Caenorhabditis elegans: one gene and its partners. The protein of the gene in region 4 interacts with the protein of the main gene of each other region in a pairwise test. Each region holds a gene or a part of one and is shown on either strand. Other genes may lie near its edges. The genes, in order: chtb-3, nhr-251, F21H7.3 and tag-325.

Region 1 (9,169 bases), on a different chromosome or scaffold from region 4:
TGCATGAGCAGGTAAGGAGTAGAGTATTCTAGGTATTCAATTTTATTTTTGTTGCAGTAAACATTTTCGCAAAGAAATGAAAAAGAAGTTGTGCTTTCTGTCGTGCAAATACAAAGATGGAATCAGTGGAAAAGATAGTGCAAATCAGCCGAGAACAAGGTAAGTGAAAATCGGTAGATGTAAGGCACAGTGTGAATATGACAGTAGGGTGTTTCACAATTGCATTATCGTGCCTCACAGCGTTCGTTTTTGTCTATCATCTCTTTGTATTTCATGTCTCCGTGTCATGCATCTATCGTAAGGTCCTTTGTTTCTAAGAGCATCTCACTAAAGCATTTCAAAGGTTCAGATTCAGATCCCTCCCTCTGAACATCATTGGCGATTCAAGTAACAACTGTTCTCACGATTGAATGCGGCGTTCCATTTATGTCATTTTCTCAAAAAATGCATTAGACTTTAAGAAATTAGGCCGGAAATTGTTTTAATTGGATCTAAACATATCAGTTAACTGCGAGATGTGTGACAACTATTTTCCCAACACCTTTTGTTTAGGAATAGTATTAGATTTGAGATTTTTTAAATGATCAAATATATTAACGTTTTGTTCAATTGTTAAAACTAAATAGAATATTAAACTTCACCGACATTTCACAGAACGTGAAATCTAAAACTATACTTAAGACATAGTTATCTCAATATAGAAACACGATCTTTTTCACTCTTTCAACTGGTTTCATATTTTTGTTCATACGGATTTTTAAAAATTTTACATACCTTTGATGTTGAACTGTATCCGAATGTTTAATTCTCTTTTCTTTCCATTTGGTTTTATTTTGTAAGACCACATCATATTGCTGATAAGTTATATTTCCATTTAATTGTTTTCTTAAAAAAATAAAAATAAAACTTTTTTGTACAGTTCCATAATCACAATTATAACGGAGCACTTACGTTTTCATGAGACGAACGTTTACGAGCAATGAAAAGAGATTTCAGATTTTCTTGAGAGTCAAAGTCTATTCAAAATTAACTTTGACGTCTTGAAGCCAAAATGCGTCAGACTGATGAAACCGGCATTACCCGCTATGTTTCATGTTTCATCTTTAAGACGTATTTTAAAGTTGATTTATTATAATAAACATTTAATAAAATGTAGGTATACTCTACTGTGCTGGCATCCAGGTCTAGGACTTTTTTGTTTTTTTTTCAGGTGTCATATGAGGTTTGAAAACAATAATATTGCGGATAAATATTTTTATTTCATGTTAATATTAATTAAACATCAATACATTTTCATATAAGTCCATATATACATTTATAGCGGAGCTTTTGGCGTTTCATGAGATCAACATTTGCCAGCATTTAAAAGAGCTTTCAGATTATCTTGGGATTCAGCATCCATCCAAAATTTGTCTTCATCGTCGTGCATACAGAATGCTCCAGACTCGTGGAATCCTCGTGGACACTGGGAGACTGAAACAGAAATTAGACATTAACTTCCAGGTTCTTAGAAACTAACAGCATCTTCCATAGAGAAGCATTCCATTCGTGCATTGGCATTGTGGAACATTTTTATCACTCTTCTTCTTTTCGCAGTAGGTGTTCGGGCATCTAGACTGGCATTCAATGTCGGTTTGGCAACCGTATTCTCCAGGCCACAGTTTCCTGAAAAAAAAACCATATAAATATTGCCTTCCTAAAGAGCATTACATCCTGCATTCTCCGTCAATACATTTTTCGTTTGGAAGACATGTTGAGTCGGCATCAAAATTTTGAATGTTGGCGACACATTTTCTTTTGGATGCCACGTTGAAGAACACTGTAATTTTTGAACTTTTGAAAATATACTCGTATAACTATTCTTACGTGGAGTTTCAGTCATATTGCCAATCGGTGCAAAAAGTGGGCGTCGTCGTGCTGTCGACAAAAGGAATTTGCATGGAGAACCATATTGATCACATCCGTTTCTTGCCAACGTCAAAACTGTCGGTGCCATTTGTTCACACGTTGCTCCATTCGACGCTGCCCCATTGACACATGAACAAACTTCTTGAACACATTGTGCGCACGTGCTTTGGAATCCATTACACTGGTTCGAATTCTGGCAACTTGTGCCAGGAACACTGAACGAGACAATAGGGCTTATTCCGCTCGAACAACACGTGCCCATAGTACAGCTCGCGCCTGACGGACAAACATTGTTGGGTGAGCATTGGCAAACTGCGTTGGATCTGGTTGGACACACTGGTTCCATTGAGAGAAGACAACAACCTCCTGTAAGTATATGCTCAGATTAATTTCTTTGAATTCATTTTAAGTACCTAGTGGAGTGCATCCATAACCTGGTGGGCATTCTGCTCCCCGATAGCATCTCATTGAAGCTCTTCCTCCATTTGGACACAAAGGAAGTGGCTCCAAGCAGCATCCGCGGCCTGCAAGAAACATGTTTGTTTAATTTTTTCAGTAAGAAAAAACAACCTTCGCAAATGTAACCTATCGGACAAGAGTTAGCCATTCCGCAAACAGACGACGCAATACTTCCGCTGGAGCACATTGGCATTGGACAGCAAACACCATTTTCGCATTGCTACAAAAAATTTGTTTGTTTGATTGTCGAGTCGTGCTTTGTAGTTATCAAATTTTGAACGTCAGTAGTAAAAAAAATTGAAAGCTGCGTAATAAACTAACTGAACCCAAAACTTACATTTCCTGGTGGGCACCCGATTCCCATTGCACACCTCTGAACCGACATTAGACCACTTGGGCATCTTGGAAGAGAACAACAACCGCTGTTCACACATTCAAAGCCAGTTCCACATTTCCCAGTGCACATTGAAATTGCAAATCCACCAGATGGACACGACGGAAGATCGCAGCAACCACCGTTCATACATGTCTGTCCTACTGGACAACAGTTCGTACATCCACCCGAACATCTTTGTGACGATGCAATATTGTTCGGGCAAGTTGGTAGTGGGCAGCATGCTCCGTTGTTACAGTCAACACCGATTCGACCACAATCCAAGGTTCTTGTGCAAATTCCGAGAGATGTTATACCATTGGAGCATTTTGGCAGTGGACAGCAAAGACCTTCCATACAAGCTTGCCCCATTGGACATCCGTTCACTTGAGAACATCGGCCACGGGCTGTTACTCCATTTGGACAGAACGGTATTGGACAGCACCCACCGTTTGAACACTCAAGGTTCAGGCCACATTCGGCTGCGACCAGGCAACGTTTTTGAGAAATCATGCCGTTCGAGCACACCGGGAGTTTAATTGGCTCTTGACAACATGTTGTTTTGGAGTAACAACTTCCAACTCCGCAAGATCCAGAAGAGCAGAATCCCACAGCGTTCTAAAATTTAATATTTGACTTTTGTACTTTCTTATTTAAATAAGAAATTGCCCACCTGTCCAACTGGGCAACGAATCGGGCAACAAGCTCCCTGGAAACAAGCATTGTTTGGCCCACATCCTTTGGAGCAAGAAGTTGTCGATGGTGTTCCGTCAGGACAAAGAAGTACAACATTGTAGACAATATCTGTGGATGGTTGTTGTTGTAGAGGACAACACATTTGAAGTTGTTGGTTGCATTGTGTTCCAGATGGGCAAGATCCACAAACTCCAAACGGTGGGGAGTAAGAGCCAGGGCAGAGAGCTGGAAAAAATCGTATGAAAAAGATGCCCAAGATTCAAAAAATTGTAACTGATGAAAAATACCGTGATCTCTTTTACAACTTTAGGCTAAGCAACGTAACCTCATGTTTTGATCAAATTACCATTTTTAATAAAAATAAATGGAAAACTTATTTTTTGGGCACGGTTACAGAAATTTATTTGAAATTGCAAGAAACCGTATCACATAATGTATACAACATACAGTCCCAGAAATCGATACAATTTTTTATATTTGCAGGACAGTGAAGTCCGCAAGGTCCGCAAAGTGTACAATGTGCACAGTCAATAGTGCTCGCAGCAATATTTTTATATTTACTTACTAATTTTAATCATTCCTGTTGGTTGCTCATTCACTGGAACTGGGCAGCATCCCAATCCTGGGGTACAAGCAGAGTCTGAAATGTTTACATTGTTTTTTAGAAGTTTTAGTTGTTAGCTTTTTTTTCTCACACTGCGGACACTGCTCGTTGCATGAACCAAGTGGTGGCACATTTGAACCGGGGCAGACTGTAAAATGATCAAGAAATAGGTATTTTTCCAATCTTTCAACTTACGGGGAGCTTGATGTTGAATCAAATTGTTCAAGTTTAGAGTATCCGTTTGTTGGCAACAAACTTTCTGTAATAAAATTTTAAAATTTGTTTTTTAATTCCTAATATACATCAAAACCTACGTTTTGACATTGGGAAGTTCCTGGGCAAGAGCTGGAAACTTGAGAACAGCTACAAACAGGCTGTTGGGTGGAACTATCACATGAGTTCTGGATGGCAAGTGGTACACAAACATTCAAATCAGAATTAAAAACTGTCGATTGGGAGCATTGCATACGTGTCCATTCTCCACATCCTTCAGTAGGCGAGGATGGGACGCACTGGAAGAAGTATGCGTTGCTTGCAGGATCTTGTTGAAGTGGGGACGAACGCCAATTACATTCCATACCCTGGTTAGCAACTGCGGTTGGGGCTGAATAAAGAAGACTTTTTGACTCTGTTCAATCAATTTTTGAAATACCTTGACAAGCAGAGACACATCCGGATGCCTGAACATTTTGTGCGCAAGCGACTTGTTGCCTAAAAAATATTTACTCTGAGTTCTGAAGAAGTTTACTTAAATATAAAACTGCGACAGTGGGGAAATTGTTAAAAACCACTCTTTTGGTGCCAAAATGAGAAATTCTTTATATTGTTTCAGAAAGTGGTAATCAGTTTTTGATACTTTTTTTAGAAATCGTCTATTAGAAAGTTATTTCTTTTGAATTTAATGGTTTCTTTATGTTTCATATACATACTGATATTCAATCATTGTATGCACCTTTTAACTGTCAATAGATAATTTTTTCAAATTATGTAAACAGTTTCACTGTGATATTTGGTAATTTGTACACCACATTTTCACAATTTCACCACTCAGTTTTTTTTTCACAATTTCACCACCACTGGCCCTACTCCACTTTTGAAAAAAGAATATTAAGTTTGGGGGAATCGCTGAAACTCTAAAAAATTCAGATTTTTTCTCTACGTAAAATTATCTACAAAATGTTTCCTACTCCTTCTTCAAAACTCACCTTCTGAATGTCTTCTTCTCGATACATCGTTGTTTCGGCTCGTCAAACTCGTGTTCCTTGGGACAGTCTCGTAGGTTCCAGACACCCAGGTATTTCTTGCTCAGCGCGTATCCTTTTACTTCATCCTCATTGAGTGGCGCACACTCGTAAAATTGTGTCGAGTTATCCGCAGGTCTTAGATGTTCAACTGTCATGCACACCTTTCCAGCGGACGGAGAGTTTTCGATCCCTAAAATTTAAATATTTGAGTGCCCGATTCGAAGTTAAGTTTATAAGTTTTTTAGTTTATAGTGATGTTTCACTTGTCACTGTCCTTTTACTCATTTTTCTGTCTTAGGGTTTGGTTCTTTGAACCTCTAGATGCCACTAAGCGAATCCGACCTTGAGTATGTTCTTGAATGCCTTGGGATTTAAAATCAGAAATGACATGATACCGATCTTGCAAGTGATAGCCACCACAGAAACGGTTTTTTGTGCGTACTACTACTATTTGTCGCCCTTGAACTAGATAAACTGGAACGCGGAAGTTTGATGGGATTCATCTTTAATTGAAAATCATGAATCAATTTTGCTCGTAATTGACCTGAATAACTTTATGATGAGAGGCTAGAAGGAGACTACAAAGACGAGAAAAAGTACTTGAAACGTTTTCGTTTGTTTTTTCTTTCCGTCCGCGCGGTGGAAATCAAGAAATTCGAACTCTTTTTTGTTTGTTGAGAAATCTGCTCTTTTTGAATGACAAATTTCGTGTCCAGATTCAACTTAAAGGAAAGAAATATGCTCCAATTAAGGTATTTAAGATTATCAAAATTTTATAGTTTAATATCTCATCTGTGTTTTAAATCATATAATAATAACAGAATGCTATTTGACTTCTTTTGACACAATGTGTCTAGATAAATATGATTTGATACAGTGATTTGATACTATTAATCAAAATATCACGAAAAAATTTACCTTGTGAAGGGTGTGGCAGTAACAAAATAGTTAAAAATGGTAACATAGAAATATATAACTCCATCTCATATATAAATTATGAATAAATTAGTATAAAATATATAATTTAAAATATGGAATGAATAGAGACAAACTGTCTGGATTTCTTGACTCGCTATGTTAGATTTCCGGAGACTGTATATCGCAGCACGTCCGTTTATATGAGGCGGCATCGGCTCGTCGAGCATTAGACCAGTTTCCGCAGAGACGCTCTGCCGACGCACATGGAAGACCCCCTCGCGATGCGGAAATATCATGGCAAAATATGAGGAGTTGGTGAAAATTAGACAATTTACAGGAGTATGAGTCATGTCGAATCTGCAAACAGTTTTACTTGATTCATTTATGAATGACGACATTAACCCGATTTGAGTGCAAAGGGAGGTTCTGGTAATAAGGAATGAGCCATTGAGGTTCTGCAAATCCAAAAATTTATGAACTTTTTTAGAATAAAGATATGTTTTAAGGCTTGTTCAACACAGGTTAAAAACTTACTATTTCCGAAATTCACACTGTAAAGCGGTCATACTTGTTTTTTAATAAAACAACTTTTTAGGAATATGGCTACTACATGTGTTTTTTTTACATTTTTAGTATGTCATTACTTTTAATTGAAAAGTTACAAAAGTTGCTCAGACACTGAGTTCAAAATCAGTTTCGGCATACTTAATAATCGCAATTTTTCAGTATGGCCAAAAAATATGTGATTTTCCAAATTCGGCACTACATATATTATTTATTTTGCAGATTAACTTTCAACTTTTCAATACTTTCTTTAATTCCTTTTTTCCTTGGCACATTCATTTCATTTCCACTTTGTTTCAATTTCATAGACGCACAACGCACAAAAAACAATTGTACCCAAATGAAAGAATAGCACAATTCAGACCATCATGTTGCCGCCATAATCTTCTTTGCTATGACGGCCCTGGCGGAAAACACTGAAAGGGCACGTTTTTGATTTTCCGGATAGACACGATGCTGGAGCACATCTCTCAACCACTTGATCTATTGTGTTTGTCGGATTTTCAAGTGTTTTTTGATCATTTCATGCAGATAGTTTTACCCGAAAAAACTTTTTTCCCAGATGATATACCACGACATTTTTGTAATTTTCACTGTTCTAATTCCCATAGTGAGATGAAGGTTTTTTGTAGACTTTTTCCTCTTGATGCTGATTGGAACAAGCAGATTACGTCACTTATTAAATGTTTAATACCGTTCCAAATACGACATTTACGGCGACTTGCTAATTTCGATTTATTTGGGAATTAATACAATTATAGCTGACAGGTGTTTTGATAATGTTTGAAATGTCGACGAAAAACCCAAATTTCCTTATTTACGCTTCTTTTTTTTTCATTTATCCCTACCACCTTGGTGGCATTTTTTAATGACTTCCTCGAGGAAGTGAAACAGAAAAAAACCGAACAGATAGGGTTTTTTCTCATTTCTCTCTTTCCCAGCGCATGTAAAAAACAGAAGAAAGCGGTCCTCCGGGGCTTGGGTTGAAGCGAGAAAAGATGATGAAGATAATGAGTCGCAGACAAGGTTTGAGGTGACGCCGGTTTTTTCAAGGGCAGCTATCGGTGTGGGTGATGGCAAGTGTAGACCTAATGAAGGAGCGGCTGAGATACTAAGGCTGATGATGAGGGTTCAGAACGAACCTCGAAAGGAAGAACAACTGTGGAAGCTGATGAGGAGAAAGTGTCCGCAATATGTACGTGGTGTTCCTCAATATATCTTTCTTATCGGCGATAAGCTGCGATTTGTTGCGTCATTGACATAGTCGGCCAATTAAAAAAACTGAAGACCGTTTTTATTCTGTTACATCTACGGATGGCTGAAGTTTTACTGATCGAAGATCAAGCTTTAACTAGAGTCTATAATTCTATGTATCATTGCAACTTTGGAAACTTCTAACTTTGGTCATTTAGATGTCAATCTCAGAGCAAGACGGCGCCGTTTTTTTTTTCCCTTTTTCCTTTTTCCAGGGTCAGCGCCAAGGTCGCAAAACGCTTGCCGGAAAAGCATATCTCTCTAATTGATAAAATCGCTTACCTTGAAAACAAGAAACAAGGAAATAGGAAGTTGTTGTGTCGTAGAAATAGTAGAAGGTAATTTCACGGAGCTTCCTTTACTAGCGGGGACTGAAACGGTAGTTCCTATCGTGTCATTTCTACACATCAAAAAAAAAACAAGAATGCATTAAAGTGCTTCAAGATAACATCACATATGTGCCGCGATGGACGATATTAATTCTATTTGAAATTCTTATTGAAATTGAGTAGTGTAAAGACTTAAACTTAGAAAGGAAGAAAATTATTAAATGCAAATTTGATAATTGTGTTTTGTTACCCACCAGCTTATCACCGCCATAAGATATCCTAAAATCATAAGTTGATCTGCAAAAAAATTATAATTTGATTTTTATGATATTCAAAAAGACACCAAAGAATTGCCCCAAAATTTTTAGATTATGCATTTCAGTCTTTTTTTTGATAAAAAAATCAAACTTTTTACATCTCCGAATATATTCAAGTACTTGTGCATTACACTCTTTTCTTTTTTGGAAAATAAATATTCTTCAAAGCTGAATTTCATAATAAGGCTATTTAAAATTTGCTCAAAATTTTGAACCACCATTAAAAAAATTTGATCAAAAGTTGAAAATTCTCGTTATGAAGATTGATCTTGTGGTGTCATTTTGAGTTTCAAAAAGCTAAAAAAGTTTATCTTGAATACCAAATAAAACGTTTCTAATTTTTTTTACAGTAAAAATGGGAAAACTATGTGACATAATTCTGAAAGTCGACTAATATATTTATATGTACTGAAATAACTTAGAATCAATAAAACTGAACTAAGAGCAATTTGTTTTTTCTTTAATCAAATGTTGATTGGTATATAAAATTCCAGAAAAAACAA
Region 2 (5,797 bases), on a different chromosome or scaffold from region 4:
ACAATGGAAACAATGGTTTTGATAAAACAAATATCAACTGATTATATTGATTTTTGCCTTGAATAATTTTTTAAAGATCACTTCTAAAAGACATACGTGATTTTCTCTGAGAATGTTCATTGAGGAGGGCCCTCGGTGATTTTTATCTCGACCGTACTATTCGTATTTTGTGTTAGTTTCTTTAAGAATAGTGTACTAGGGACTGGACGGCATTGTATTTTCAAAGATGGGAAAGGACGGTTACCGTATTCTCACTTGAAAAGATAGTGCTGGAGCGTTGTAGAATTACAGTAGTGACTTGAGCTCAGTGGTTAGATAAAGTCGGGGTATGGTAGTAGTACTGTAGGTGTACTATACATTTAGAAAAATTACTCTTTGCTTTTTGAACGACCAGCAGATGGGGTTAGGAGGGACTATGTAGAGTACTGTAGGAGTGTTGTAGGGTTACTGTAGCAGTATTGTAAAGGTACTATAAATGTATTTATGATGTACTTCAGGAATTCTGTAGAGTTACTGTTGGAGTACTGCAAGGGTAATGTAGATGTACTTTTAACATATTTTCGGTGTACTGTAGAAGGACTGTAGGGGTACTGTAGGATTACTGAAAGTCTTAGAAAAAGTTGGGGCTGTCGTTTTTTTGTTCTTTTGGTTTTATTTTTTTGGTTTTTTTGACCAAGAAATATACTGCTCTTCAAAAATGTTATGTGTAGTCGGTATAATGAAAAAGTGGTTTTTTTTTCTGTTTGAATATGAAACAAAAAATTGTTTTTTTTGCTTTTCGGCGGGGATACAGTGTCAAGGCTAGTGATAACGAAAAGATAATGTGTGCTAAACTCAAAAACTGAGCAAAATTGATCGTTCCAGACTGGAACTTCCAGTGTACAAAGGTCTAGGGATGTTTGGGTAGCATGCCTGCTTATCAATTTTGACAAAAACCTACAAATACTGACTACCTACGCCTCTTGTCAAAAACTTACGTGGTGTTTGTTTTTTAGTACATACAAGAGCCTTATCTAAAATTTATATATTTAAATTTGACATATGTAAAGCAATGAGAAATAGGTACGTAGGCAGCCATGATAATTGTGCATGCCTGTTACGATGTCCCTAGAAGCCTAAAAGGTGACAAGAAAGTCAAAAGACCAGAACGGGCCTTAAAAAATTAGGACAGCTCCTCACAAACTTTTTCCTCACGAAGAAGGTCGTTGGAAGTGATGTTTCAATACACACTAACACGAAAAGATCATATCAGTAAGTGAAAAAGGCGGTTTCTTCTATGTAATTAACTATTCAAACACTGAAGTATTTTTGCGTCAAAAAGTCTAATTTCGAATAGTTATCAGTATCATTAATAATTTTACGGCTGAAAACCTGTAGATCATAACGTTTTAATTCATATAAAATTTTCCGACAGCACTTTTGAAAAGCGTGATTTTGCCGAGAATCATCAAGGACGTGAAGGATCTATCGAAGGATCAAGGCAAAAGGTGAGTGAAGTAGGGCGAAAAATGGGGGGAGTTCCGAAATTCCGGTGTGAGATTTTGAGTCTCGATGAGTTGTAGATAAGAACGTACCTATAAAGAACCGAAGCATCGCACGCAACTTAGTCTATTTTCATTTTGCATTTTGAAATCCTATCGTATTCAATTTCAATTTCATCGCAATGAATCGTAAAGGAGGTTTGTTTTCAATTTTCCCGGAATTTTCCGATTTAGCTTCCAATTCAGTTCTTTGTCGGGGTACTGTAGTGGTATAGTAGCTGTGCTGTAAGGTTACTGTAGTAGACTGTAGGGACACTGAAGAAGTACTGTATTACTGTAGTTTTAAAGAAATGATATTTGCCATTTGAGTGGATACTAAAAAGTTGGAGCTAGTGGATCAACTCGGCATTTGGCTTTAGCTTCTTGCTTAAGGTTGGCCCAAAAATATTAACTTGGATCTGAAGTTAGCTAAACTTGGGCAAAACTTGGATTCAGGCTACATCACAGTTTAACCCAAGTTTCACCCAACTCTTGCCAAACAAGTTTGAGCCAAAGTTAGGCAAGCGTTGGTGGAAATTTGAATTAACTTTGATGTAGCCTGAATCCAAGTTTTGCCAAAGTCTTGCTTAACCTTTGCCCAAGTTTACCAATCTTATGATCCAAGTTAATAATTTTTGGGCCAAACTTTGGCCGAGAATAGCTTCGGGGTATTGTAATGGTACTCAAACTGAAACGGTAGAAGTACTGTAGGTGTACTGTCCTTTTAGAAACAATTACCTGATAGCTTTCAGATCCATGCCTAGTCTGTGGAACAACTCAACGAACCAGCTAACATTTTGGCACCACTTCTTGCATGGCATGTGCTTCGTTCTTCCGAAGAACCGTCTCATTCGGAATTCGCTTTTTGTGCAAAGAAGGAAATCGTTGTCCAATTTCGCAAGGTAAGCTTTAAGATCTTACATATCTGGTTATGACTTCAGTTTTAGAAATTCGCTTCTTCTGCCGCTCATGCCGATATGACAAATGCATCAGTGTTGGAATGAATAGAGGACGTGAGTTACTTTTATTTCTCTCGATATCTCATGTTTTATTCGAAAATTTAATTTTCTAGAAGTACAACAAAAACGGGACGATAATAATGTGCCGAAATATGTTTTGGACTCTAGAAGGCTAGGAATTCAGGAGATTGTTAGAGGTGAGCATTTTGAGGGGTACTGTAGAAAATTATTCGGTCTGTTTCAGGATACACTACTTCAAGAACTGTCCCTTCTGAGCCTGCTGAACCAATCAGTCCTGGCTCCACCGGTTCAACCGGATCTACAAGATCATCTTCTCCAGAAACATCTCCAGCTGAACCATCAAAGAAATCTGAATTCAGTATCATTCTGAACACTTATCCTGACGATTTACTACAGTATTATGTAAAGCAGGTGGAAATGTCAATGATTCACAAACAACTAGGGTTATTGAAGGTTAGTTTTGAAAAAAAATTCTCCAAAATTTTTAGCAAGCTCTAATTTTTTTGAAACGTTTTATCTCAAAAATTTGTTCTATGAAATTATTTTTTTTGATCGGCGACTTCCAGAAAATTGGTGAAAACTGAGATTTTACCAATTTTTAACTCGAAAAAAATTCAAATTTTTTCCGTTCCTTTTGTAATAGAAATTGGCGGCAATCGAACATTTTTTCCAATTTAAATATCATTTAAAAATTTGTTTTTTTTCACAAATTTTGAGAAAAAAAACGAATTTCTAAATTGGTTATTTATTTTTTAGAGTCCAGGGCTAAATTCAAATAAAAATTTCAGTTATTTTAAATAGCCCTCCGATTGTGATTTTTTTTTTGGAAAATCTTTTGTAAAATTTTAGGGATTTTTTTTTCCAGAACACCCTTTTAGTAAAATCTGTCGACGAACTAGTTGATATATCTGAAACACTGAATGACTTATCAATGGAAGCATGCATGAATTGCCCAGGCGTTGATATTTTGAGACAGCGAGATGTTGAAGTCATTCTCAAATCGTTTCATTTTGCAAATGTTTGGATGGACTCCATTTGGGCGTATTCTAGGCACAACGAGTCTATTGTGAATAAGTTTTTTGAAAATAATGGGTTTGTGAAATTCTTTGAAAATTAAGACTATCATCAGGAGTTTCAGACCATTATCCATGTTCATTAATCAAATAAAATCCACTCTCGGCTCTTCACTTTCTCAATTAACGTTTAATATTTACGAGTTTTCGGCTCTAAAAGCTTTCTGCGTCTGGAAACTTAGCTACCATGACTCAACGATATCAATTAACATTATGGCAGAAGAGCAATATATTGGAATTTGCTCAGCGCTACGAAAGCATTATGAGGTACTTTGGATCCCTATGCCTTATTTTTTAAAGAATTTCCTAACATTTTCAGGCAACTACAAACATGACCGACGTAGATATTGCAATGAGAATTGCTGAAATCACATTGCAAATTGTGCCAGCTACGGTAAATTTACAACATTTAAACTAAAAATAATATTTGTTTCTTTTTCAGACGATTTACCAGGACATGATACGTTTCTATCAACAGAATGGACTCATCGATAATCTTTGAAATTTTTATATATTTTTCTCTGAAAAATGATTGATCTCAAACTAATTTTAGAAGATATTATTTTCAAATACTATGTATTTTATGATCATTATTCTATTAAAGATATTTCAAAACATTAAAAAAATACTAATAAAACTTCTTTTTCACCTTTCTCATTCGAACACGATCGGCTGAACAGATCATTTTGTAAAATTGCTCCCGCTTCTCGCCCGGAAGTCAATTCTTACAAGGTTGCCGGACAGGCATTGTGGTTCGGGGGCACATACTATACAAGTTTAGCTCATCACTTTTAAGGAAAGCCGTGAATCTACAAGTATCGAGAAAAATTCCAAAAAAAAAAGTGGAATTTATTTCATATTGGTCCATCACCGTTTTCAACCACCTACAAGAAGTTTTTTGATTTTATTGAAAATAGTTTTAGACAATTTTGAAACGTCATAACTTGGCCAAACCTTTTCTTCAACAGCAAAATTTTTTGGAGTGCTCACTGTAACAATAACATTTCTACAGTAACCCATATCTGCAAAATGATTATAAAATTAATATATGCTTTAATGCACAATACTTGGTTTTGCATTTACCATACGAAGCTCGAAATTATAAACAAATTTTGATAAAACTTTGTTACTTTATTTTTGATTTTTGTTTTCTGAACATATATGTACACCGTTTAACATTAGAAATTGGAAAACTACCGATGACGGAAATATCCTTTAGAAGACCATGTAAAATTTTTATCAACATTTTGGGAGTTGGATGAAAATGAACCCGATGTTTGCTTTATTTCGAAATGAAAATGTTGAAAAATTTTCATTCATAATACTATGTAGTGTTTACAAGTAAATTTTAAAAAAACTTCTAAGTCTATCTAAATTATTTTATTTCTGTTAGAAGATTTCCCAATACACTATGTACATACATATACTACCAATTTTGAAAACACCTCGTCTGAAAATATTTCATTTTACCCTTTTTCGGACTTTGAACCACCATAATTTTTTTGAGAAATTTTTGAGAAGGCTCATTATCAAATTTGTTCTTTTAAGGTCATTTCAAGCTTTCTCAAGCGAAATTTAAAATTCGGTGCTCTCAGCGGTGGGCAGAAATCTAAACATAGAGTTTAAATTACACAACAATTAGACATTATGAAAGGTTTTTCGTTGACAACTTGACGCTAGAGAATTTAGACAGAATTTGAGGCTAGCTCTAGTGGTATTTTGTGAATATGTCCCCATATTTTGTTCTTTGGTCTGTGCAAGTTTGCATAATCAGAAAAAATGTATAACGTATTTATTCGATTGAATTGCCCAATAAAAACAACTTAAATTTTCAATTATTGTTTCTCGCCTGTCTCATGGACATTTTTCTAATATAGAACAGAACTGGTACTTCTTGTGGATATTGATTAGTAAGAGATTGAAGAGCTTGCTGCTGCTGTTCTCCAGTTTGATTGTCATTATTCAAAATTGATTCTAGTTGGTTTTGAACTGAAGACAACTGGGAAATAATTTGAGAAGTATTCTGATTCATTCGCTGTTCTTGTTGATCACGTTGTTGGGTGTAGTCGGTGTATTGGTTCTGAAACAGAAACACATTTTAAGTTTAAGAATACTAAGCTTCAGGCCCTTCTAGTACTTACCGATAGATTATTGGTCTGTGCCCACTGCTGGAGCTGTTGATCCTTCTGATTCTGAGTCAACGAAGAATTACTTGCAATTGTGT
Region 3 (6,698 bases), on a different chromosome or scaffold from region 4:
TCACAAAAAAAACAATTCACACAAGCGTCACTGGTCTTGTCTCGATGTAATCTTTCAACTCGGTAAGATTAAATATTTTCTCCTGGAATTTTCTCAAAGTTAAATGAATTGGATCTTCTGGATCAAGTTCCTTGAGATTCGTCAGAGTATACAAATGATCAGCCACCACCAGATCTGCCCAAGTCAATCCATCTCCAACAAGGAAACCCGATTTGTTCTCTTTAAGAATTCGAGTCAATATTTTGAACATTAAGTTTTTTGCTGGAATGTAAACTTTGTCATGAATTTGCTTCACTTCTTCCATTGTTTTTCCAGTTTTCACGGCATCACGGTAGGGATGGAGTGACGCGTAGTACTCATTAAACTGATCAACGATAGAATCAGCAAAAGCCTCGTCTTCCGGTGTTTTTCCAGCGTAGCCAAACTTTCTAGCCAGATAACGATGAATTGCAGAAGATTGAGCAAGATCAAAACCGTCGATGGAAAGAACTGTGAATCGGCCAAATGGGGTCTCTGAAAACAATGTAATTTTTTGATTGTCTGGTTAGCAAAATTCTTTCAGCTAAAATTGTCAAATTGTCAAAAGTTATTTTTAAATTTCAAAAAGTTTCTTGAGTTTCCTGGAAGCTTCTTGAAGTCATCAAAAATTGTCTGAAGGTTCCAAAAATTTCCTCAAATTTCCAAATGTTTTTATTCCAGAATTACCATGACATCTCCTTGAAATCAAAAATTGCATGACTATCCAGAAGTTTTCAGAAAGTGTCAAGAAGTCTCATGAAATTTCAAAAATTTCTAGGAGTTTCTTGAAAACTCCATAAATATCCAGATGATTCTAAAATTATTTTAAGTTTTCAAGAAGTTTCCCGAAATGTTCAGAAAAATCGAGAAAATCACAAAAATTTATCGGTTTTTCCACAACTTTCCAAACCTTTCCTAGCAAAACTTTTTTCTGATTGAATATGAATTTTCCGCCGAAAAGTGGAAGGGCTCATGTTTCTTTAAAGGTGGACTATGCTCAGTGGGCTATTAGTTTGACTCACTGTCTTTCAACGCTGAAAATTCGTCACTTTGAAATCCCGGAACAGCATTGATCGTCGGCAGTCGAACATCCTCATATGGTACCCCACCAAGATGGAATAACATTCGTGCTGACTCTCCAAACCCACAAGCATCAAAGTAAGTCAGTTTGTAAGAGGGCATATTTTATTTGTGAAGTTAGTTGAATCAATAAAGAATTTATACCTTTACCAACCTTTATCGATGACTCTTATCGCGATTGCAACTTTTCCCCTTATCGCAAAAAACTGCAGAGACAGTTCAAAATGTGGAGGTATTATGTGAATATTAAGAAATCATTGCATGATTCATACCTCTATTAAATGAAATCATGATTTTATTATATTTTATTGGTTTACATATGAAGACTGTACTAATGGGTGATACTGTCTGTACGATCTTCAGAAATTTTTTTATGGATTTTTAGCAGAAAACGAGAGCTGTGATTGAACAAAAAAAACTATTCCTTTTGTTTTTGTTAAAAATTAAGTGTTATTTTTAATTGCTTGTAAAAACAATGTCATGTCGGCAAAACAGATGCATTTTCAAATTATACAATATGTTAAATTATAGAATATAACTATACAACCACATTGTAACTTTTCTATCAAACTTTGCTTTACAATTCATGCAAAATATATAAATAGTCCCTATCAAGGAGACTATATAAGTTATGGAAGCAATAATACAAAATCCGGAAACCGAGAAAAGAACAGAAGATTTGCATAAATAAATCGGTCGGCCGAGTTGTTCATAGCTCCAAATAGCTCCAAGGGCAACCCTGAAACTTTTCTAGTTTTTAGACATTTGTAAATTTGAAATCAATTACGCTATTAACATGACTCCTTCCAACGCATATTTTATTGATATCCACCAAAAATTTTCGAACCAGTTTTTCTTTCTTCCATCTTGCGGAACATCCTCCATGAGTTTCTTCACTTTATTGAATAGAATTTTCCAATAAATAATTCTATCAATAATAATTAAAATACCAACAAAAATAAGCCATAATGGAAGAAGCGGGTTCTCACATTTTCCTTGGTTTTTAAAGCCGATTGATAGGAACCATATTGGAATAATAAGGAAGAATAAGTTCAAAATTACCAAGTAACAAATATGGTGTGTCATGGTCGAAGAGAAAAGTTGAAAATAGGTTGAATTAGTTGTGTCAAATTGTTATCAAATAGAGTGGTATCAATCACTTCCTCAGTCCCTGTGTTCGCGGAACTTTTGAATGAGTGAGAAAGAGAGAGAGAGAAAAGAAGAGAAACCAAATTTTAGTCACAGATTACACTAAAGTAAGAGATGAATAATGTATGTTAAGTGTACTGGCATTGACCTACGGGATTAAACTATCAGGATTTGTAACTTATTCTAACCCATGTCAATGTTCTGAGACTTACATATCTGCCCGCGCTTTCTTCATTTCGAGTCACCAACATCCTATATACCGTGAGAAATACATTCAATATAGTTCAAATGTGAATACAACACTCCAAGAGTTAACATTTTGTTTTAAAGTATTAACTGTTTTACCTTTCTCCTTCGGCACAAAAATCCTGTGAAATCTGGAGACAGCTCAGAAGAACATCGACATAGAAAAAGGCTCTAAGACCCCCGCTCTAGTGAAAGTAGATGGCTTGAGTTCAAGAGACCTAATGGTTTTAAACTGTAATTAATTTTCTTCTTCAAGTTCACTGCAAAATTATTTTGAAAAACATTTTAATTGTAAGATGCAAACTAAACTCAAATATGTTAACCACAATTTTCTGTTTTTTTACAATCCCGGTTTGGTGATGCCGTTTTATTATATTTTTTATTACCAACCGCCTGTTTCCTACAAAAAGCAAGAGTTTCTGCGCCGGAAAGTCAGAAAAATGAGGGTTGCTATTCTATTCCTCCTTTTTGCAACTTCTACGCTTGCAATTTTTATTGACGGTGGAGGGCGAGGTGGTGGAGGTGGGGGAGGCTATTACTCCCACTCTTCGTCTTCGTCTAGCTCATCGTCCGAAGAGCATGGCCATCATAGACCGCCACACAGGCCCCATAGACCACCACATAGACCACATAGACCACCAAGACCCCCACCAAGACCTGAGTGCGATGAAGGATGGCTTCGTTTTGAAAGACCTAATGGTGTTTGGTGTATTAATGTTAGTTTTTGGCTTCATTTACTAAAGATGACATACATGTTTTCAGGTTGTTCATAGTGGAGTAACAAATGGGTATTTCTCTCAGCCACAGGCTCAAGCTGCTTGTTCTGCGTCGGGAGCTACTCTAACCGGATTCCAAAATGACAATGAGCGTATGACAGTTGCCTCTGAAGCATTGAAGAAGCTCACCGCAGCTGGCGGCCAAATTGCCGGGCTTTGGCTCGGAGCAACTAACACCCCGAATTGTAAAGTTGCAAGCTGTGAACCATATGCAACTTACACCTGGACCGATGGGGACACAACTGGCAATGGAGGATTCAAATGGGGACGTGACGAACCTGATAACCTGAATTGGCCGTAAGTAAAACGTTTCAGAATTAAGTTTCATAGAACAAATTAGAGGGCCCACGATCTGTATTCAACAATTTATTATGCAACCAAACTGGGTGGTGGGGCCAAATGATTACGCTGTATGGAAAAACTATTTCACCAATGGAGATTTAGACAAGTACCAGTGTGGCGCACAAGCATACCCATTTACAAGAATGTACGTATGTGGAAAGAGGGGTGTATCACGTTAAACGTTAAGCATGCCAATAAATTATTCAAACTTTCGTATTTTTTTGTTGTAATTGTCTAAGTTAGTAGAGTATACCTGGTCTCTCGCAAAACTTGTTCGATGTCGGCTGCAAACGGAACAGACGGGTTTAAAAGTTCCGTTGTTCAAATATCAATTTCAGACTACACATGCGTTATATAACGTACATATTCATTCCTTCACAATTACTAAAAAATTAAATCTTCTACAAAGAAAAGTGTACAGTACGCATGTACAACTTCCTCACTCTCTATTTACTGCAGCCGACGCTTTGCGGATTGCGCCGTCGCATTCAACAGCGTGATGTATACCCGGAAGTAACCTGCACTGGGATTGATTGGACTTTAGTGTTACACGCTGAAAAAAGTTGCAGTTGATGATAATTTAAACTGCTTCGAAATTTCATTTTGAAAAAAGTTCTTACGTTGGTTATACCACCGATTGATCATTAATTTCATGGCATTTCGATAATGTTTGTGAACCGATAGTATCACAATACATTCTACAATTCCGTGCAATGCAATACAATCCACTGCAACGTTCATCAATTCTTGAGAATATCGGTTCAAATATAAAGAAACTGCGACAAGAATCACAGGAAGCGTCATGAATGAGAACAGTGTAAAAATTTGGAGCAAAGTGCCAACAAGGAAATTTCTTTGATAAAGTTGAGTAGCCATGGAAACGGATTTCGGAGGTGCTATATAAAGGTAGTACACAGTGCACCAGATATGAAATAAAAAATGAGCCAGTGTGTTGAGAGCAAAAAAAGGTATATAGACGTAAATAACCAAGTGTAGATTATTTGTATTGGATATCAAAATGTAGATCGGGAATATGAAAAACTCTTCCGTGGGGCAAGGATACATAGTCAGAGCTTCACGTTTGGCTGTTTTCTGGTTACTTGGAACATTGATTAGAAATAATGTTAGCGAAATACCATTGGAGAGAAAAATTAAAAAGTGATAAATTATTCTCCTTTTAGTGCTTTGAATTCTGAATTTATTTTGGAGAAGGCTGTGGCTCCGGCCTTCCAGAAGATACACATACGAACTTGCAACGCCTGAAATTAACATTCGATACTAGTAAACTAAGAAAATATGGAAAAATTAAATCGAATTCCACAAAATAATTAGAAAGCTATTACAACCAGTTAACTGGCGAACCAAAATCTTTACTTGGTTTTGGTAACCAAAAAAAACATTTTTTCAAGAAAATACTGTGATGAATATTTTACGATTTTAAAAATAAATGTACATACATCAAGCTTTTCTGTTTAACACATGTAGAATTTCTAGCGCCCGACATCTAGCTGGCTCAAGAATCAACAGCGCCTTCTTGCAGAAAGCAATATGACCCGGAAGCTGTCGGGCGCTGCCAAATAGCTTTTTTTTAAGACGAACGTGAGAATTCGATTTTTTTTGAGTTTTGCTATTTTATTTACACAACGCTGTAATAACAATAAAAGCCAATTGAACCGAATATGGAATCCCCATCCAACTGAAAACACCAACTCCAAAAAATCCGAGCATTGGAAGAATCACATAAGTAGTTGAAAGCGTACAGAATATAAAATCAAATAGAGCACTTGCAATATGGTTTATCAACAAATGTTTGGTGCTATTCATACTTTTTGGGGTTTCATACAAAATTGCGTAAAAAGAAATAATTTGAAGGGGAAACGCAACAATTTGAAATATTTGAGGAGGATACGCAACTCTTTTCCAAGAAGCCAGAAAACTTTTTGTAGTGTTGCACTTTGGATATTGCAATTGATAATATTCTTCTACTGTTTCCAAAATCATATGTGAAAACAAGAATAACTTTTGGAAGCTGAGTGATATATTGGTTTCCTGAGCATAACAAAAGTGCAATAGTCTTATTAGAGTTGTTGTTCCATTCCGAGGAAAAAATAGCATGGGAAAAATTAATGCAACGTAAATAAGGAAAGTCTAAACACAAAAACGAATTATCGTTTGGTCTAAATGGCCTATGTACACGAAAAGTTAATATTATTTATTTATAATGTGACGTTCAAATAATTTTTTTTTAAATATCACTGAATTAATTGCACTTCTCGAACCACACGTCCTGTAAAAGCGTACCTCTTAGTAAAATTTTTAAAACGAACACGATTTTTTGAAAAGATTAGAAAAACAAATTAAGCTACACACAAATGTTTTATGAAAATTAAAATTCAACATTTCCCGCAAATATTTTTTGATGTCATTAAACTTTGATTTCCGATTTTATGAAATATTTAAACCCTAATTTAAAGAAATTTTAATCTTGAATTTCGAGACTTTTCTCGTAAAATGTGACGTTGAATTTTGAAAATTTTAATTTTGGATTATAAAATTTTTTGAAAGCCTAAAATTTCGCTGCAAAAAACATTTCTGAAATATCAAAATGCAAATTTCACAGCAAAACTTGAAAAAAAATTAAATTAAATTTTTGTATTCAAAAACAAAATTTTAATTTTAATTCCCGCCAAAATTTTTAAAAATTTAAAAATTTTCATACACGTGAACTTAAGAAAACATTTGTGAAGAAAACTTAAAAACAAAATCGATTTAAATTTCAAAACGTGACAAAACTTCAAAGGTTGAACTGATCTTATCAGCGCCCCCTCCCCCCCAATCACAGTTTTCAAAATCAGTATTCAATACTTGTCTCCATAAATTGGAGTTTTTCGACGGATAAAGAAGTACCAGCTGGAATCGAAAGATCTAAACGATGATCTCACTGGTTTCTGTGATTGCCACCGCCTCGGCTACTAGCACCGTGCTTGCCATGTGCTCCAGCAAGGATCGTCAAGCGGTAAGTGTTTCAAGTTGCTTTAGCTCAAGCTTCATCTTGATTTTCAGGACCGTAAAAAGACTAAGAAGGGT
Region 4 (9,274 bases):
AACTCATACATTGTGGCAGCTGTCGTCATTAACATTCCACATCCACATCCGATATCAATTAATTTCTTTCCTTCAAAACCAATTGTTTCATCGATCATTTCCATCATCGAGACTGTAATTATTTTGATTTTCTTATTTTGATTTTAGTTGGTAAAAGCTTATTTCAAAAATGTTTTTTACAGTGTATACTGTAAGAAGCTCCAAAAAATAAAATTTTGAAGCGCGGCTTCGATAGTTTTTTTATAATATTTTTTCTAAATTTGAAAGCTGAAAACATAAGAAAGCGCCATGATATAGGCGGAACAAATTTTTTGATTTTCTTTTCTTTAAACAATAATTATGTTCGGCTTGAACAAGATTTTCTATATTTAAAGAAGAATGTTTGATTTTTTATTTTAAATTACAGAAAATGGATAATAGTAACAAACCGAATATAACTGTGAAAAATTACTTAATTTTTCAATTTGTGATTTTGCAAAAAAAGATTTGAAAGTTTTTTTCGATTGAAGAAGTCATATTATGAAGGATTTTTGAAAACAGATTGCATTTTTTCGAAAAATGGTATTATTCTCTGAAAAAAATAAACCAAAAATTGTTTAAAACAATTTTTAAACTTTAAAAGTTTTATTATTGAGACTGTTTTCTCTGATTTAGGCTTTCAAGTTTTTTCTTTTAAATTCTTTTTTGGAAAATTTCAATTTTTGGTAAATTTCGGTATTTTTTCAATTTTCTCAGAGCACATTTGAGGAAATTATTCCACAATTAATATGCAGTTTTTAGGAAAAAATTACCGGCAAGCTCTGATGACGTGGCATACTGCTCCAATTTGATTTTTGGTTTTTCGAATCCTTCGAGCTCATTGAGCATCCAAAGTGTCTTTTTATCCGGCATCTTTCAAAATTTTAGTGTTTCGTATTTTCCTTTTCTTCAATTCCAAAAAAATATGCCAAAAAGAGCTAAACTTTGAGTTTTTATCGTCCGCGCTCGTTTACAATTATCACAATTTATTCATCTTGTTTGAGCGTAGGAAGATTGAAAATACAACATAAAAAAAGAATAAAGCGTAAAAGGAGAAGACTGTAATAAGTAAACGGATGAAAAAAAAAGACTAGCATACTGAAAATGTGTTGAGGAAAATGAATATTACAGTACATATTTACAACATTAATTGATCAAATCCCGAAAGTCAAGGAAAAAAAAGTAGAAAGAAAATAAGAGAAAACGATAAAAGTAATACCCATTTTTCGGCGATAAAACACCCAAAGTGAAACGGTGAGAAATAAGGTCACAACTCTTTTGGAAAATTTGAAAAATCTATAGATTATCGTCCAATATTGACTGGAGCTTTGAGAATATCAAATTTGTTGGCCGATTCGAGAAGATATTGAACAATTTGGGATTGCATAATCATTGAGAAGGCGAGATGAGAATTCGATTGGACAGGAGTTGCTTGAGTTTCTTCCTGGAAATTATAAGTATTTTAAACAAGGAATATCAGTTGGTTTTTGAGTTTTGACTCAATTTTCAATAACTTAAATTACAAATAATTTGGTGAATATAGAAAATGAACGGTAATGACCAATTATAACTGTAAAAAATTTCAAAATTTGTTTAATGATATGTTATATCAATTTTTTAAAGATTTTTCACTCCATTCTCAATAAATGAAGTTTTACAAACCTTTTTCGAAGGTTTCGCCTTCTTTCCAGCTTTCTTATTTTTGGTTGCCAAATTCACGGCTCCATCACCATTATGGAATAGTGTTGGACCAAAAACAATAGCAAGATTATGTTGTTGCATTCGATTTTGTGATGAATGCGAGGCTACACGATTCAAATGACGAAGTAACATTTTCAATGTTTCACGATTCTCGTTTGGAAGTCGACTTAGAAGTTCTTCGAATTTTTTGAAACGAGTGGTCGCGTTGGGCATTTCTGGAATAGAAAATTGGTTTAGGACATTTTAAAACTTCAAAAAAAAAACTTACGCATAGCTGATGTGTATTCCTTATGAAGAGAAATTGGGAAAAGTGGATCGGTTAGCTCTCGGAAAAAGAGTTTAAGAGCACCAGTAAGAACATGAATATCTTCTTCAGACACAAGAGCTTTATAATTGTCTTGATCAGCTTGACATCGAATTTTTTGGACTGCGGACAGGTTTCCACTCACTCTGAAATAAGAAATTTCAAGTTTCAATGCTATTTTTATTTGGTAGTCATCCTTTAAAAAACTGAAAATACAGTTAGAGAATACTCTCGTAACAGTTCAAATTTTTTAAAGATATTCCAAAACTATAATTTTTAAAGTGTGCCTTTAAAAAATACAGTAATTTTGATGTTGATTTTTCATAATTTTTTTGAATACAAATAAATAAATTTTAATCGAAAAACCGCAGCAACTGTGAGTTGGAAATTACAGTACTTTTTAAAGGCACACAATCATTTAAATTTTAAAAAATCGTGTCGAGACCGGGAAAAGTTTTTTCAACGCAAACAGTTCGCATCTGGGTAATGTTTTTCGGAAAAAATTATTAGGTCTACCCCTTTTGATAGTAAATAAATTTTTAGATGTGTTTTGTTATGGCATTTGGTCATTTTTTCACAAAATGGCGACACTTCATGTAATTTTTTTCCAATTTCATAAACTAACCGATAAATTCCATCTGTCTCCAATCCTTTACTCTCAATAACTTCAGTGATAACTCTAATAAACTTCGGTACCAACGAGTTTTCATGTTGACAGATTGCAGAAAGAGTTGATCCGAATACTGGTTCAGCTGAAATGATTCTTATTTCAATATCAATTTACTATATATAAAGCGCGTGTCGTTCCGTCACTATGTAGTTTGATTTTTGACAGAGCAACGGAAATTTGGGAAACCTTATGATAATTGTATTTTCTCAAAAAAAAAAGTCGGGGGCCGCGCCGTAGGTGCGGTCCACGGCTGGTTTGCATATATTTCCAATCTTACGTTTATATATTCCCTTCTCTTTAAGACTTTCCACTGTAGGGCGTGTTCGGAAGAATCTTCTCAACTTCTCAATGATCGTCTCTTTTGATGGTCTTGGTTCATCAGTTGATACACTTGTCGATACCGTTTCAATTGCAGATTGTGACATTGGATCATCACGTCGTCGCATACTTCGGCTTCTTAAAAAACAAAACATTTTCAATAAGACATGGTTCTCTCAGAATTTTGAATTCAATTTTTTTTTTTTTGAAAAAAAAACTCACATTGGAATTAATGCATGGGAAAGTGGACGCGTGCTGCCAATGTATGACGGATTACGAGCAACGCCATTTGTTACATCAATCATCGGTTGGTTTGAAGAGCCAGGAGACGGCTGAAACGATATACATAGTCTTGAAATCTATAATCGGATGCAAAAAACAGTATACGGTCTCGACGCGATCGAATAGGTTTAAATGAAAAAAGTTGTGCGCCTTTAAGAAGTACAATAGTCCATTTTTCTCGTTTTTCTCAAAAAACCTTTTATTGTGTGAAATTGTATGCACAATTAAAAAAAAAAAGATAAGTCGAAGAAAATTGAAAAACAGCAAGATTTATTTAATTTTCCTAGATAGATTTTTTATAATTTCAATATTTTTTGATTAGTGTCACAAAAAAAAAAGGAAAAAAAGGTTTTAGACGAAAAGGCAGGAAAATGGTAAAATAGCGGGACTACTGTAATTATCAAAGGCGCACACACTGTTTCATTTCAGCATTTTCGGTCGTGTTGAGACCGGGTTAGATATTTTTCAAGCGAAAATCCAGCTTAATAGGATTTTCAGAATTTTCTCCCATGAATCACCTCACTATTTGACCGTTGCAGGCTCAACATTCGGACTCTGGAGCAAGCAGTATGCCACATGGTACTTTTTTGAGAATACACAACAAGTAAAAACTTTGCAATAATAGACGGAGAAAAACTTCGGCCGTGAATTCTTATTTCTACAGTCTTGAGAAAGTTGGAAACAACTTGGCAAAGTAGCTTATAGCCGAATAATCTCTTAATTGTACCTGCCAAGGGCGGGAGAAAAAGAAAAATGAAACAAAAACACTTGATTTTTTTTGTCTATTTTCTGGATAATTTTCAAATAAAGAAATCTTACAAGCTTTGCGACAACTTCTTCCAGTGACTTGTACCATTCGACGGCTTCCGTGTCATTGGGACCTCGTAACAGGTATTTCTTCGTGTTACACAGCTCTAATTGAATATATTTCCGTTGTTTCTTCTTTTGTACATCCCGATTGTCTTGATACCATGTCACACTTGCTCCTCGTAAATCCCATACTCCTTGTGGAGCATCATAATGTTTTCCGTGTTTCTGAAAGTTGACAACTATTTGGTATTGGTTGATCTACTGACAAGGAAAGGAAATAAATATATACAAAATATGGCACTTCAATTTGAAACATTATGTTTAGGCTGAGCTGATATATATGTATATAAATATTTAAGCTGCAAAAACTCCACTCGAACCATCTGAACTTTATCAACAAACTTTTCAACTACTTTTATGATCAGTCGAGTTGTTCCAAAAGTGGATTTTTGCAAACTTCGGATCATTTTTAAGCTGTTTAGAGATAAGCAAACATTTCGGAAGCTTTTTGAAATTTTTAGTTTCTGAAGAAGAGTGCAATTTTTTGACCGAGGTGGATGAAACATTTTCAGATCATTTTCAGAAAAACTTCCAAAAAGCAGACAATAATACATCATCTCTGCACATTTTGTTAAAATTTCTTAAATCTTTTTTTCTGCGTTAATTATCAACAACATAAAAAAAACTACCTCTGCACTTTTTTGGTCTTTATACAAAATGAGATGAGCCGTTGTTAAATACATGTAGTTCGTGATCCATTCACGTTTTTTTGGCTTTACAACTTTCTCTGCTGGTTCATCATTTTCACTTCTTTCCAAATCACCGCATCGAATCGTTCGAACAGGTTCACGTCCATCACCACTACCTCGACGTTCTTCACATCGTGATGATGGTGTAAAATCGGCAGAATCTTCCATAAGGATCGGCCGATCCGGCGTATTAGAGTGATATTGCGGATGGTGATCGAAACTTGATGAGGTTGTCGGCAGCACTTGTGGCATTGGAACATTTTTTAGAACTGTACATTTGTTCTGAAATGAGACCGATCTTAGGTTCGTCGGAGATGGACGACGGACACGGATTGCGGTGGGAGTTTTTGATGTTTCATTGGCATCTGGGGGAATCACATACGAAGCCAATTTGTCAGTGTCTTCATTTTTGGCCCTAAAAATGTAACTTTAGTGATAGGATATAACATTATTGAATTTAGGGGTAGCGTCGATGGGAATTTCACTCAAAAATACTCAGGTTGATCTCAAATGCCGATAACTTTTTTTGCATCTGTAGTTCTCAATACTGCCGCAAGTTCTTCATTTTCCTTGAATTTTCAAGTGAAAAGGAAGGTTTTATGCCTATAATGGCAGTTACGTTTCGCCTAAAATATTATTTTTGTCTGAACCAGTCGAGAAAATCGAAGTGAAAAACGGAAAAATTAGCGGAGTTTCGAGGCGCGGTAATTCAAATGAGGCACAACTGAAAATTCACTAAAGTTAGCCATGTTTCAAACTTAATGATTTTTTTTTCGTTTTGCTCCACTATTACAAATTTTGTAAAACCAACCTTGGAAACGTTGATTGAAACGAAGAAACATGTGCATAGGGATGTGGCATCATTACTCCGGATGCTGTAGAAGCTTTTCTTGATGATGTTGGAACAGGTTCTTCGTCAAAATCGGAATCTGAAGCTATGGATCCTTCTATAGGTTTCACATCATCTTCATCTTCATCATCCGTAAAACTGTCAGAGAATGGAATTGGAAGAGGCCGTGATTGAAGATCAATTACAGGTGATGATTGTTCATCCACGTCATCGCAAACTTCATCAAACACTTCTTCATCTTCTATCAATTGACTTTTTCTGTCGTCATCAGCTAAAGATTCACGCATTTTGTTCTCTTTTTGTTCTTCTGATGAAGATGTCGAGGATCCTTGAAAACTGCATGTAGTATCTAGATTCGTTCTTGTTGCACGAAGAAATTCCTGAAAATTGAAAACTGAATGAAATTATAACATCTTACCAGATTTTAATTTTTTAAAAGTAAAAAATAATACCTGAACTTGTGCGGGTGTTCTGATAAACCTCGGTGGAATCCATTGACTTTTTCCAGTTTCTTTATTGAAGAAAAATGTCCGTCCGACGTCGGTCTCGTATTCAAACCAACCATTTAGAAGATCTCTACGGGGCTGCGCGTCGGCTCGCGGAGTCGGTGGAACCGGTCGGCTGAAGCTTTTAAAAATGTTTTATGATGATTTTAGAATCAAAAATGAAAATTAAATAATCATCAGTGATTAAAAAAATGCTCCAGGTGTTGTTCCAACATTTTTTCATAAATATTAGTGAGAAAATATGGAAAAATAATAGATATAATTGAAAATAAGAATTCAATTTGACGAAAGAATTTGAAAAAGTGCTTAAACATAGTCTGAAATTGTCATTTACCAATTATCGAACTTAATTTTTCAGAGATTGGCAAGTTTCAAACCATTTTTGACCTCTTTTTCAAATGCTTCACCCACGATTTGCACACTAATTCCAATTTTTCAAAACATTATAACTAAACCTGAATCATTTCAGATATTTCCCGTACCTGTTTAATTCTTCGATTTCTCTGATATTTGTATACACATGTGATGGATCGTCAGCGTAATTCTGTCCATTACTTTCACGTGGCAATGTGTTCGCGGCGCTAACATTCGTTTGACTAGATGACGAAGAGGATTCGGCCGATTCGGACATCTGTAATGAATAAAATTATTTTTCTCGCGTTCGATGAGAGAGAAAAACTAACAATTTCTTGGAACTGAATAAGATCCGAAGCTCTTGATCCAGCGGGTCCTCCGCCGAATCCAGTTGTATCTGACGGCTGAACAGCGGTGGTCATCATCCGACGAACAAAATCGATAATAAATCACTTTTAACACCACCGGAGAGGCATTGAAGAGAATGATAACGAACTGCAAAAAGGACGAATTGCTAAAATATTCGGAGAGGGAGAGCATGGTAAGGAGAGGAAAAGAAGAGAAAGATCATGTGACCATTGACTTTGTTTTTACAGTGTTTATAGAACAAAACCGAAATATTTAATAAAGCAGATTGATCCGGAAATGGGAAAACAAAAATTATAATTAGGTTGTTAAGATAATTAAATAATGTTCGAAAAGAGAAGAAGACAACAATTAAGTATTCTAAATATCTAAGAAACTTGATACATTTCTTTCCACTTGAATCGATTCTCTCGAATTTCCGTGACTTTCTGAACATTTCGTAACTTTATACCCATAAGAATATCTTACGAAATATTTTTAAAATGAAACATATTTTAATCAACCAACGGAATTGATAAGCAAAATTTCCGATTTTTTGTTTCATTTCAGCTGTCCAATTTCAAAATTAGCTGAAATTATTTATAAATCAGTTTTAATTTAAAATTTTGTACAATTCCAACAGAAAAGCACCAAAAAAACCATCACAAGGAGGCACACACGGGATGACTCATCCGGCCGTCGTATTTCCCTTGTCCCGACTGGAGAAAAGAGAACACAGAATGGAAGAGTAAGATACGCAGACAGTGATACAGAAAAAACTCGCCGTGTGTTCTCTCACTCATTCGGGAGGTTAGAGACAGTGTCTTGGGGCTAAATATTGGAGATACAGACACACGAACAGACGACAATCGATTTAAAGAAATACAGTCATTGTACAAACCTGATAGTGCCGTGACTAGAGGTATTTACTGGTTTAGCTAGTGAAAAGGCTCTTTTTAGACTTCAAAAATTTGTTTTAATAAATAGTTTCATTATTTCAACATATTTTACTAAATAATGTGCCAAATTGAAAAACTATTCACTAGACAGCATAGAAATATAATATTCTCTTAAAAATCAATATTGGAGAACATTTTTGGATAAGAATTCTTTTACCCTTAAGGGTCAATCTTATATAGCGCGTCGTTATCCAGAGCACTTTTTGTCTCTATGTTTTACACCGTTCGTTGATGTTATCTCATCTTCAAAACGAATTTCCTGCAGTTTCTTAGTCTCTATAGTGCCACGTTTTGCGTGCGCGTAGAATAATAAATTCATGTTTTATGGGTCTGTCTGTGTGCACAAGCCGACCGCCCCAGTTTTCCCCCATATTCGAACATCGTTTGATGCCAATCTTGACATGGCAGAGAAATAGGAAACTGAATGCATTGGGGAAGAGAAAAAGAGAAACTGCATTTCGCTTTCAATTATTTGAGTGGCCCGTCGGAAGAGCTCTCACAGCTACTCTACAATTTTGCATCTAAAGGGGTCACGCTATTTAAGCTAACAAATATTTTTTCATGTTTCAGAACACATTTTTCTTAATTATGCGAAACAAGAATAGAATGCACCGGAAAAAAAATTTATAGTAAAATTCGTGAATGACTCGCATCCAAAATATAAAAAAAACAATGTTACTATTAAAACTAATTAAAAAATAATTTTACAAAAACACATAAACAGGATATTTTAAAGCACGTAAAATTTCGATCACCAACTATCCTTATCCGACGGCAACGCAGCATTGATAGCTTCTAGACACTCATTATCAATTGAAGATGTAGTCGATTGTTGTGGTGAAAAGTTACGAGAACGTGCCAATCCTGGTCCTTTTGACATTGGTGGGAGAACTACACTTCTAGTCGTGGATGGCACTTTTGTAGAAGTTTTGGCACTCTTTCCAACAATAGAAGCCGCCTGAAATTCATTTAGCTTATTCATCACAGTCGGCATGGTATTTTCTAGCATAGTTAAAAATATTGTTTTTGTTTTAATGAACATAAAAATTGCAGTATTTTAGCAATAAAACAACAAAAAGCTAGTCTTGATCCGAAAACGGAACGATACCGCACTTGGTATATTATAATTAATGGAATCTAGCAAGAAAATTACTCACAATAACTTTTTGGTTTTTAATTTCCGTGAGAGCAAGAGATATATGTCTCCCTGGAATCGACGATCCTTTTTCTATCTGTCTTCCAAAGCTCATTTTTGGCAGTTTCTGATCTGTTGCAGAGGTAGAGGCAGTAGATAATTGCAATGTTGAAGGATTCGAACTACTGGTAGAAGTATCTTCAAGTGATTTGATACACGTAGTTTTCATCACAGGAACAACAAGATCCTTACTCGCTTTCGAAGATGCCAGAT

Evidence for each region.
Region 1: the proteins of tag-325 (region 4) and chtb-3 interact in a two-hybrid assay, tested with the Caenorhabditis elegans proteins (one large-scale study listed by BioGRID).
Region 2: the proteins of tag-325 (region 4) and nhr-251 interact in a two-hybrid assay, tested with the Caenorhabditis elegans proteins (one large-scale study listed by BioGRID).
Region 3: the proteins of tag-325 (region 4) and F21H7.3 interact in a two-hybrid assay, tested with the Caenorhabditis elegans proteins (one large-scale study listed by BioGRID).

What each region holds. Positions count from the first base shown.
Region 1 is NC_003284.9:6,313,288-6,322,456, forward strand, and holds chtb-3 (EB domain-containing protein), read right to left. Parts: upstream 6,360-9,169; 5' UTR 6,267-6,359; coding exon 6,203-6,266; intron 5,475-6,202; coding exon 5,246-5,474; intron 4,752-5,245; coding exon 4,693-4,751; intron 4,645-4,692; coding exon 4,355-4,644; intron 4,300-4,354; coding exon 4,236-4,299; intron 4,189-4,235; coding exon 4,132-4,188; intron 4,077-4,131; coding exon 4,002-4,076; intron 3,662-4,001; coding exon 3,414-3,661; intron 3,359-3,413; coding exon 2,705-3,358; intron 2,588-2,704; coding exon 2,479-2,587; intron 2,433-2,478; coding exon 2,322-2,432; intron 2,275-2,321; coding exon 1,867-2,274; intron 1,820-1,866; coding exon 1,711-1,819; intron 1,666-1,710; coding exon 1,520-1,665; intron 1,474-1,519; coding exon 1,346-1,473; 3' UTR 1,242-1,345; downstream 1-1,241. Other genes in the region: npr-38 (G-protein coupled receptors family 1 profile domain-containing protein), read left to right, coding at 1-11, 58-159, 344-410.
Region 2 is NC_003283.11:598,261-604,057, forward strand, and holds nhr-251 (Nuclear Hormone Receptor family), read left to right. Parts: upstream 1-2,270; 5' UTR 2,271-2,334; coding exon 2,335-2,422; intron 2,423-2,467; coding exon 2,468-2,533; intron 2,534-2,592; coding exon 2,593-2,676; intron 2,677-2,723; coding exon 2,724-2,953; intron 2,954-3,365; coding exon 3,366-3,592; intron 3,593-3,638; coding exon 3,639-3,840; intron 3,841-3,892; coding exon 3,893-3,967; intron 3,968-4,015; coding exon 4,016-4,075; 3' UTR 4,076-4,209; downstream 4,210-5,797. Other genes in the region: srlf-37 (SXP/RAL-2 family protein Ani s 5-like cation-binding domain-containing protein), read right to left, coding at 5,405-5,653, 5,715-5,797.
Region 3 is NC_003283.11:16,231,072-16,237,769, forward strand, and holds F21H7.3 (Serpentine Receptor, class E (Epsilon)), read right to left. Parts: upstream 4,100-6,698; 5' UTR 4,055-4,099; intron 3,996-4,054; 5' UTR 3,865-3,995; intron 3,828-3,864; exon of another isoform or gene 3,791-3,827; coding exon of another isoform or gene 3,610-3,790; intron 3,567-3,609; coding exon of another isoform or gene 3,256-3,566; intron 3,210-3,255; coding exon of another isoform or gene 2,853-3,209; intron 2,270-2,852; 5' UTR 2,185-2,269; coding exon 1,886-2,184; intron 1,838-1,885; coding exon 1,624-1,837; 3' UTR 1,580-1,623; downstream 1-1,579. Other genes in the region: gst-22 (glutathione transferase), read right to left, coding at 17-513, 1,041-1,200; clec-233 (C-type lectin domain-containing protein), read left to right, coding at 2,853-3,209, 3,256-3,566, 3,610-3,790; srh-98 (Serpentine Receptor, class H), read right to left, coding at 4,100-4,164, 4,232-4,676; F21H7.5 (Major sperm protein), read left to right, coding at 6,544-6,627, 6,675-6,698.
Region 4 is NC_003281.10:4,794,624-4,803,897, reverse strand, and holds tag-325 (WW domain-containing protein tag-325), read right to left. Parts: upstream 7,060-9,274; 5' UTR 6,988-7,059; coding exon 6,892-6,987; intron 6,840-6,891; coding exon 6,691-6,839; intron 6,330-6,690; coding exon 6,155-6,329; intron 6,083-6,154; coding exon 5,664-6,082; intron 5,268-5,663; coding exon 4,793-5,267; intron 4,329-4,792; coding exon 4,113-4,328; intron 3,344-4,112; coding exon 3,234-3,343; intron 3,150-3,233; coding exon 2,971-3,149; intron 2,776-2,970; coding exon 2,649-2,775; intron 2,170-2,648; coding exon 1,988-2,169; intron 1,935-1,987; coding exon 1,681-1,934; intron 1,463-1,680; coding exon 1,322-1,462; 3' UTR 991-1,321; downstream 1-990. Other genes in the region: rRNA N(6)-adenosine-methyltransferase metl-5, read right to left, coding at 1-112, 792-891; mip-1 (HTH OST-type domain-containing protein), read right to left, coding at 8,618-8,824, 9,024-9,274.